Linked DNA regions of Arabidopsis thaliana. The protein of the gene in region 2 purifies or fractionates together with the protein of the main gene of each other region. This does not show direct contact. Each region holds a gene or a part of one and is shown on either strand. Other genes may lie near its edges.

Region 1 (5,303 bases), on a different chromosome or scaffold from region 2:
GTAGATGAGTTACCAGATGAAAAGTATAACCAAATATTGCATCATCAAAAAACATTTATGTGCTGTTGAGACAACAAGAAAGAAATAATATAGGTCCCGATATAAAGAAAGACTGGCTTGAAGCAGAAATAAAGTTACAAGGAATATCTACAAAATGATGAGTTCATTTACCCCAGGTTCCTCTAGTGGATCTCTTAGAATCAGATGGGAAGACATGCATGGCATATCTCTTTTGCTAATAAGGTCATGCGCGACTGGGGAATGGAAGTTTTGTGGTGAACTATTCCCAACTTCTTTTCTTTGGCGCAGCATCTCACGAGAACCAAGGATGGGGCTAACAGGAGAAAATGGAACATGTGAGGGTGGATTCACTTCACCAGCTTGCTCAAGAAGTAGACCACATGGTAGAGGCCATATTGATTTGACAGTACGCATTAGTGGAACAGATACAACTTCGCCTGTTGCCAACAATTGCCAAAAATCAGAAAGTAATTACCTCAGCTAGTGTTACCTCAGAAAAGAGACAAACAGTACTGATTAATCAGATCTAGTCAACAAGTAAAAAGGAATACGCAATATATTTCCAAGAGCAGATGAAAGGAAACTAGAAATAGAACGGCTAAAAGTTAATCAATCAACTTGAACGTTCAAAAAGCTATCAATGCACAGAAAGCTACCTGAAATCTATTCTTCATAAACCGATTCCATAAATTTTCATTTGTAATTACACAATTTCAAATGAATCATAAAGAAAGGGACCAACTATGTGCACCAGTATGAGATTGTCCTTTCGTTAGAAGCAAACCATATAAGAATCCATTAGGGTATAATGGAAAAAGTCGGATAGTGCAGAAATATTATAGTTCAGAGGTATCTAGCCACAATTACCTGATGTGTTGTAGATTGTTAAGCAAGCAATTTGTAATACACAAAGAAAAGCTTCTGTCCCTCGACCAAGGTTGCTCCAGCATGCCTATGACATAAAAAAGCTATGAGTTAAAACAGTCTTTCTGACGCATCAAATAGATGGAAAATATTTTTGTCTATGTTTTTGTTAATTCATGTGGAACAGATAACGTATCCACCAATACAACAGAAAAGCATTGTTAAGACATAGCTAGATTTGTTTAATCAAGGATTGTCACAGATAAGAATCCATAGATTTTCAAACGGGAAAACTTGAGAGACAAAGAGCCAAAATTCTAATGGAAATCACCTTAATGACGGCAGAAGACAAGGTAAAACGCTTGAGGACCCGCGAACCGCTTGTCCAGATTATGCTATCATCAAATCAAAATTTCATCGTCAGGTACAGAAACGAACCGCAATTCAGCTAGATACGTTATACCAATATCCAATGAAATTAGCTTCTACTAAAGCATAACCCTTACGGACATTACTGGAAGAAAGAGGCAAACTTGAAGAATAGGAAAACACATTCGAAATTGAAGTGATAACAAATTCATGAAGTGGTGCAGAGTTATAGAGTAATCAGCAAATTGTATACATTTCTTACCAGTTGTCTCGGATGAAGAGCTCGTGCTCTCTCTGCCGCGAGAAGTTGGCATCATTGCCATCAGCATCATCTCGCTCGCCAGTGAGCTCAGGATCGAAGAGGAAATACTGATAGGAATCATCCGGTGATTTACCATCAGTAGCTTCGGCGATTAGACCGAAAGGTTTAAACTTTCCGAGGACGGTAAGTTGGCGAACCCCTGGAGGCATTTTTTCTCCGAAGCCAACAGGCAATGGAGATTGGTGAAGTTTAATTTACACTCTCCCGCTCTTTCCAAGTTGTCTTAGCGCTTAAACCCTAGTCTTTTCTATTTTCAAAATTTTATTTGAGATTCTCATTTCTCTTTAAACCTGCGGGTCGAAATCGTTTTATGAAAAGTAAGCGAGACAGAGGAAGATAACATTGAAGAAGAAGAAGAAGAAGAAGAAGAAGAAGTGAGTAGGAAGAATTGTCACTTACATTAGAAACCGGATAGAGAGGTTTCAAACGAGTTCCGATGATTGTCGAGGCTCTAAACTGAACGGAATGAAGAAAGTGAGGTTCAAAAAAGTATCGAAAGTCGGAAGATTTCGCTTAGTGAAAGAGAGATGTTCTCAGAGGAATTTAATCAAACACTTTCTGTGCTAGATGCAATGAAATCTGGGACGAAGTCTGAGCTTATGAAAGACAAAATTTAAACATTGGAAAGAAGTAAAACTTGAAGGCTTAAAATGAAATAAAACTAAAATATTTCCAACTATTTGCTATTGACCCAATCTGTCACTTTTAGAGGTTTATTTATGTAATCTTTTTAGTTTGAGGTTTGTTTTGGGATAAATGAAAAATTATGAGGTTTTTTTTAACAGTTTAATCATAAGTACTAACGAGACCAAAGAGATTGGTTCGGTCTTAACGGATAATCGCCGTTGGGACCAAAACGCTCCAATACGGTCAGTGACGTCACCGCCGGTCATCAATGTCAGGCCACACTTATCCTCTTCTCTCCCATTCCGGTTTCCTCCCACCAAAAAAAAAAAACTTCTTTTTATGTTTTGTTTGTTTCTATTCCGATCTTATCCTACGCCGTCACTCTCCTCCCGGTGCGCACATTAGCAACACTACTCCCGACGAATGGAGACGACGACGCCGCAGTCAAAATCAAGTGTGTCCCACCGACCGCCGTTGGGAAGAGAAGACTGGTGGAGTGAGGAAGCGACGGCGACGCTGGTAGAAGCCTGGGGCAATCGTTACGTCAAGCTGAACCACGGAAATCTCCGGCAGAATGACTGGAAAGACGTCGCCGACGCCGTTAACTCTAGACACGGTGATAACAGCCGTAAGAAGACCGACTTACAGTGTAAGAACCGGGTCGATACTTTGAAGAAGAAGTACAAAACAGAGAAAGCTAAACTCTCGCCGTCGACTTGGCGTTTCTATAACCGCCTCGATGTTCTAATCGGTCCCGTTGTGAAGAAATCGGCTGGCGGAGTTGTCAAATCAGCGCCTTTTAAGAATCATCTGAATCCAACTGGATCGAACTCTACTGGAAGCTCTCTTGAAGATGATGATGAGGATGATGATGAGGTTGGTGATTGGGAATTCGTTGCTAGGAAGCATCCTCGTGTGGAAGAGGTAGATCTGAGTGAAGGATCAACGTGTAGGGAACTAGCTACGGCGATTCTCAAGTTTGGAGAAGTTTACGAGAGAATTGAAGGGAAGAAGCAACAGATGATGATTGAGTTGGAGAAGCAGAGAATGGAAGTGACAAAGGAGGTAGAGTTAAAACGAATGAACATGTTGATGGAGATGCAGTTAGAGATTGAGAAATCAAAGCACCGGAAACGCGCAAGTGCTTCAGGTAAGAAGAACTCACATTAGGTTTTCAAGTTACTAGTGGTGGCTTAGACTTTACATGGTTGTTACTCTTTCTCTTTAAACCGCATAATGTATCCGTGGAAGGACCTTAGATTTCAACAACAATGTTATACCTATGCTGTTAGTTGTTGTAAGCATGGATGAGGCTGGTTAGTAATTGACTTATTGTTGATATGTGAAAGTCATGTGCCTCTCTGCTTTTGAAGAATACCAATTTTGTCAATATACAATTCAGTTGAGCTTCTGTGCTTCCAGTGGTCTGGCAAGGAAAAGTCTAGATAGCATTCTCTTACTTCTTTAGCTTCTCCAGCTTCGTGGAATGTTGAACTGGATTAGGAGGAGTAGACTTCCAGGTTTGAAATTGAGAAAAAAGATCAATGTTCATAGTAGTCGAACATTCTTCATATGGTAATGAGTTCACTGAAGTTTGATCTGCCTTTATTGTACAGGTAAGCAATTGTAGAATTAGATTGGTGGAGGAAATACCATGGTGAAGCAAAGAGGAGTTACTTGAATCTGAAGCTCATTGAAATTGGAGGATCCTGTTACTTGTTTTAATCTGTAGGATGGAAGTTAGAGAACTCTTTAGGATGTCTTTGTTTGTTTTCTTCTACTTTCTAGCGTGTTAGTGTACATTGGTGTACTGGAGCAAATCTTCCTTAACTCTTTAGTAGCTGACAAGTATGATCTACATTTGTGTTAGTGTCCACGTATAATGATGGCTTGTGTATCCAAACTACAGCTTCTGATGCTTAACAGTTACATGTTTATGCTTCTTCTTGGGCTTTTTCATGTCTAAATTTTTATCATAACCACTTATCATAAGATATATATAATACATCCACAAGTATGCAGTTGCATCCGAGTATCTTAAATCAATAGTCTCTGAGTTCTTTAACCTTTAAATTGGCAAAATACTATCCAAGGTTCATTAAGGGCATCAACGATGACCAAACACAAACTAGAGTCACAGTGAAAGCAATTTTCAAGAATCCGGACCAATTATCATCTTATCATTTTGCTTTGAGTTCTTGATTTTCCTTGATATTATCTTCTTCGTTTGACATTGCTTCTCTGTTTTCGTCTGGACAATGGTTTACACCTGCGTCTATCTCTGGTCCCTTTAGAATGATTTTCTCTCTTCCGTTTCTTAGAACTCGCATTATTCTCCTCTGCTATGACTTCCCCAACCAAATCATCTTCGACCATTTTACGAACGAGAACATATAATCTAGGTTCTGATGAACTCGGCTCTAGAAAGATCTGTTTTTGTGACAACCCCCTCGAATCCTGTAAGAGAAATACATAGAAACTTGTTATATCACCACCATCTGTGAAATAACCAAAGATATGATGCTAAATTACCTTTCCAAAGTCTCCAGCAATGTTTTCAAATGCTTGATTTGCTTCTTCTGGACTTTTAAAAACAACAATCGCGCTATAGTAGTGACGGTCTTGTTTTTTCGACGGCTGCCAAAAGAAAATCAAGAAACAACGAGAGCCTCATAAAATACAGAATTTGGATAAGAATATGTATATGTTGAGTGGATTCATACCTTAACTTCATGTGGGATATCCCTGGAAACGACTCCATTTAACTCTTCATATGGAACATTGCAAGGGATTCTATGAAGGTAGAGCTTTGACTTCTCAGCTTCCAACATCTATATGGAATTATGCAGACAAAACGTTATGCTTTTATAAGTTTAGATTGAACTAATGAAGTTTGTGCAATCCAACTTACCTCTTTAGATAGTGGAACGGAGGTCTCTGCTCCATTATCTAGTATAGCAAGTACAAGTTTCATTGCAGCTTCTGCATCATGAACACAATTGTGTGGAACACCTTCTTTCTGCACTTCATATCCCAATATACACTGGAAATCAAATCAAATAAACAATGTGATACATCGGTCATGTACATACGAGATTCC
Region 2 (4,149 bases):
GAACCAAACTCAGGTCTCGAGGAGAAATTAAGCTCTTGCTCCTTGAAAATCTCTCTCGCCACCGAAGAGCTTGAGACCACAACGCACTTAGAAGCACCGAGACGTATCTCCATGAGTGGGCCATACTTGTGAGCTAAACTTTGGAATGAGACAGGCAATACTTTGCCTATCAAATGAAGGTGGCCAATGAATGGTAAAGCTGGAGGGCTCTGTGGCAGCTTCGTAGCAGCCAATGAACCTTGCTCTTTCAAGAACCATTTGAAGAGAGCATAAAGCATGAAAGGAAAAGCTAAGGATGTGATGAGAATAATTAGTTTAGTGTTTAGTTTTAAATCCATTGCAGGCAGGTATTGATACAATTTTTGAAGTATGCTTGTATTTATATCCAGACACAGACGAATCTTGTTTATTAGATGCTCATTGTAAAGAAAACAAAACAACAGATGTGACCTTTTACCAAATATAAAATGTGTGACGTAACATATATGAAAATTGTTTGATGGGAATTAAAAAAAAAAAATGATTAGAAGTTTTTATTATTCGAAGGCACTTCCTAGATTGTGACAATTACAGATACACACATACAAGAACATCTGCAATTTCTACCAACAAACCAAACTTCTGTACAACTGTTTAACTACAATATCCTGAATCAAGAAGACATCCTCATCATACAAAAAGCCTAAAAGTAAAAGGGATCCAACATAAACCCGTGAACTATCTAACAGTTATCTCCCATATGATATATCATCAGAAGATGAATTTCTTCTTCTTTTTTATCATTAGAAAAATGATAGAATCTCCCTACTATATATCATCACAGAGATGATTACCTCTTTCTAGTGAATCACCAGAGGATGATGAATCATCATCGCATCGACATTAGCGTCCTAACTCTTTTCTCCCTTTCTGCTCTTTTAGCACTAGGAGTGCTCTTCATTTTCTGAATCTCTTCCATCACAACCTTCTCCACTTTATCAATAGAGTTGAGGAGCTTCTTCTCTGGAGTGAGGGCATCTTCTTCCCCTGTGTTTTCTCTTGTGATGTCGAGCAAAATCTGATGGACTTTAGCAGTTGAGGGTGGCCAAGGACGCTTGAATCCAATAGATGGACCGGGAGTAACCATAGAATAGTCGTGCTCGAGATGAGCACCTGACAACGGTACTAGAGAATCAAGAACCCCAAGTTGTTGTGGAGTTGGGGTCTCAATATCTCGGCCAACACCTTCTCCCATACGAGCTCTCCTTCTCTCAATAGCCTGCATATAAGAGTTTGTAAATAGCCAGACTAAGCAAGCCTTTTGGTAACAGGTTATGACTTATGATATAGTTAACAAAGAGGCTAAGCAAGCCTGTTACAGAAGACTAATCTAGCTTATAAGCAGCAGATTCTGAACCAATATGCAAATCACAAACCAGATATAAACAGATCACAAATTAGCTATATATCAATGAAAAAAACTCCAGTTAAATCTAAGAATAAGCAGACAAATCCAAAATGAGACTAGGTTTAGTGAACTAACCCTAACAACGGCAGAAATATCACGGAGGGGCGTTCTTGGATACCAAGAAGGTAAGACAGAATTTGAAGCACGAGCCCTTCCACGCCTTGTAACACCCAAGCTCATGTTCTCTCGTCCCTGTGGCGATCTAAATTGAATTTGACCTCTTCTACCACCACCAGTCCGCCGAATACCGAAATTACCCCTCACAAGCCCACCTCTTCCCGTCATAGATCCTTGACCAATTGACCCAAGTCCTCCTGTAGCTTCCGATGGCACTCTCTGAACCGGAGACCCAAACAAATTGTGCTGTGTTGCTGGTTCGTCAAGTAAAATACCATGCGAGCGTCTATTGAGAAATGCGGCTGGGTAATCAACTTGCCTCTCTATTCGATCTCGTGCTTCTGGCATTTGTGATTGAGCGCTGAAGAAATCAAACAACTATGCCATTAGAACACACCCAAAATCGAAATCGCAACATTAAAACCCAAGAACTCAGTCTTGTTCTCCATTGTTAATCAGATTTTCTCGAAACCTCATAAACAACAAGAAAAAGAGATCAACTCTTCGTTTTCGCAACAAATCTCCGTCACATCACAAAGAACCTACTTGAACAAATCAAACCATGGATTTACCTATGAATCTTCAATAGATTCCTTCGTGATAGCTCGGAATGGCTTCGTGAACGGTAAAGTGGAGGGGACAAAGGAGAAAAAGAGAGAAAAGCTTTTGAGAGAGAGACGATCTGGCAAACAAAATTTAGACCATTTTCTAGGCGGGTTTTGTAATTGAAAATGAAAAATTTCGAGCTCGCACGTGTCAAAGTGGTTTCACCTGTGTGAAATATTTTGAATTTTTCATCTCACGCGGGATAAATTTCGTTTTTTTTCAAAGCGCACATTGTCACAATTCGTCAAATTCTTTGTCAGATTTCAATTTTGCCCTTCTGAATAAAACTGGGCTTGTGGCCCAATTCTATTTACGTACGCATTGCTTTCAAGATCGAATCCTCACCGTTAATTGTCATAGGATCCAACCGCTGCTTTTTACTAATACCAGAAAACCGGATTGGCTAGTTGGTACGGTCTAATGATACGATAACTTGCTCTGATTATACGAAAACACTCATCAAGAACCAACTCTAATTAATGTTTTCTTCTAATTATAGTTAAAACGGATTGAACCGGACAATTCCATAATTTTAGTCGGCTTCCGGACAGGCCTTCGTGGGTTTGGAATTTGTGGCCGACAATGTATTGTCGGTTTAAGACTTGTTTAGGGTGTATATATAAGACTGTTGAACGAAAAAAAAAAAAAACTCATCGACTCGATCAAATTCTTAAGACGACGATTACGGAGAACGGGAGAGAGGTAATAGAAGAGTTTTTCGTTCCGAATTTTGTTTTGTTTCATTGATTTAATTCTTGGAATTTGGGGTTTGTTTTTCCGATTTGGTGATGACGAATTTGGGTGGTGGTGGTGCGGAGGAGCAAGCCAGGTTGAAGCAGTATGGGTACAAAGTCAATTCCAGTCTTGTTCTTAACAGTGATGAGCGTCGTCGTGATACGCATGAATCTTCTGGTGAACCGGAGAGTCTCAGGGGTAGGATTGATCCGAAATCCTTTGGAGATCGTGTCGTTAGGGGAAGGCCTCATGAGTTAGATGAGCGGCTTAATAAATCTAAGAAGAAGAAGGAACGTTGTGATGATTTGGTGTCTGCTCGTGAGAGCAAAAGAGTTCGTCTTAGGGAGGTGAGTGTACTTAATGATACGGAGGATGGTGTTTATCAGCCGAAGACTAAGGAAACAAGGGTTGCTTTTGAGATTATGCTTGGTCTTATCCAGCAGCAATTGGGTGGGCAGCCTTTGGACATTGTTTGCGGTGCGGCTGATGAGATTTTGGCAGTTCTTAAGAATGAATCCGTCAAAAACCATGAAAAGAAGGTAGAGATTGAGAAACTACTAAACGTTATTACTGATCAGGTTTTCAGTCAGTTTGTTTCGATTGGAAAACTGATTACAGACTATGAAGAGGGTGGTGATTCTTTAAGTGGTAAAGCTAGTGAGGATGGAGGACTTGATTATGATATTGGTGTTGCCCTTGAATGTGAAGAGGATGATGATGAGAGTGATCTTGATATGGTCCAGGATGAAAAAGATGAGGAGGATGAAGATGTTGTTGAGCTTAACAAAACTGGAGTTGTCCAGGTGGGTGTGGCAATAAACGGCGAGGATGCAAGACAGGCAAAGGAGGATACGAGTCTTAATGTTCTGGATATTGATGCTTATTGGCTTCAGAGAAAGATATCTCAAGAATATGAGCAGAAGATTGATGCACAAGAGTGCCAGGAACTCGCAGAAGAGCTGCTTAAGATACTTGCTGAGGGTAATGATAGGGATGTTGAGATCAAGCTGCTTGAGCACCTTCAGTTTGAAAAGTTCAGCCTTGTTAAATTTCTGTTGCAAAACCGTCTTAAAGTTGTGTGGTGCACCCGTTTGGCTAGGGGAAGAGACCAGGAAGAGAGGAATCAAATTGAGGAGGAGATGTTGGGGTTAGGTTCAGAGTTGGCAGCAATTGTTAAGGAGTTGCATGCCAAAAGAGCAACAGCCAAAGAAAGGGAGGAGAAACGGGAGAAAGATATCAAAGAA

The links.
Region 1: the proteins of UVI4 (region 2) and EMB2771 purify together in Arabidopsis thaliana (affinity purification with mass spectrometry, with the first as the bait; one large-scale study listed by BioGRID). This does not show direct contact.

Annotation. Positions count from the first base shown.
Region 1 is NC_003076.8:1,637,874-1,643,176, reverse strand, and holds the start of EMB2771 (E3 ubiquitin ligase), read right to left. Parts: upstream 2,627-5,303; 5' UTR 1,976-2,626; intron 1,867-1,975; 5' UTR 1,726-1,866; coding exon 1,517-1,725; intron 1,281-1,516; coding exon 1,217-1,280; intron 974-1,216; coding exon 889-973; intron 459-888; coding exon 172-458; intron 1-171. Other genes in the region: AT5G05550 (sequence-specific DNA binding transcription factor), read left to right, coding at 2,627-3,353, 3,626-3,648; SDN2 (small RNA degrading nuclease 2), read right to left, coding at 4,418-4,660, 4,736-4,840, 4,927-5,034, 5,115-5,246.
Region 2 is NC_003071.7:17,601,372-17,605,520, forward strand, and holds UVI4 (uv-b-insensitive 4), read right to left. Parts: upstream 2,335-4,149; 5' UTR 2,137-2,334; intron 2,087-2,136; exon of another isoform or gene 1,926-2,086; 5' UTR 1,913-1,925; coding exon 1,523-1,912; intron 1,259-1,522; coding exon 869-1,258; 3' UTR 501-868; downstream 1-500. Other genes in the region: CYP712A1 (cytochrome P450, family 712, subfamily A, polypeptide 1), read right to left, coding at 1-338; AT2G42270 (U5 small nuclear ribonucleoprotein helicase), read left to right, coding at 2,959-4,149. UniProt on the Arabidopsis thaliana protein: Negative regulator of the anaphase-promoting complex/cyclosome (APC/C) ubiquitin ligase required for proper mitotic progression and cell fate determination; inhibits premature cell differentiation.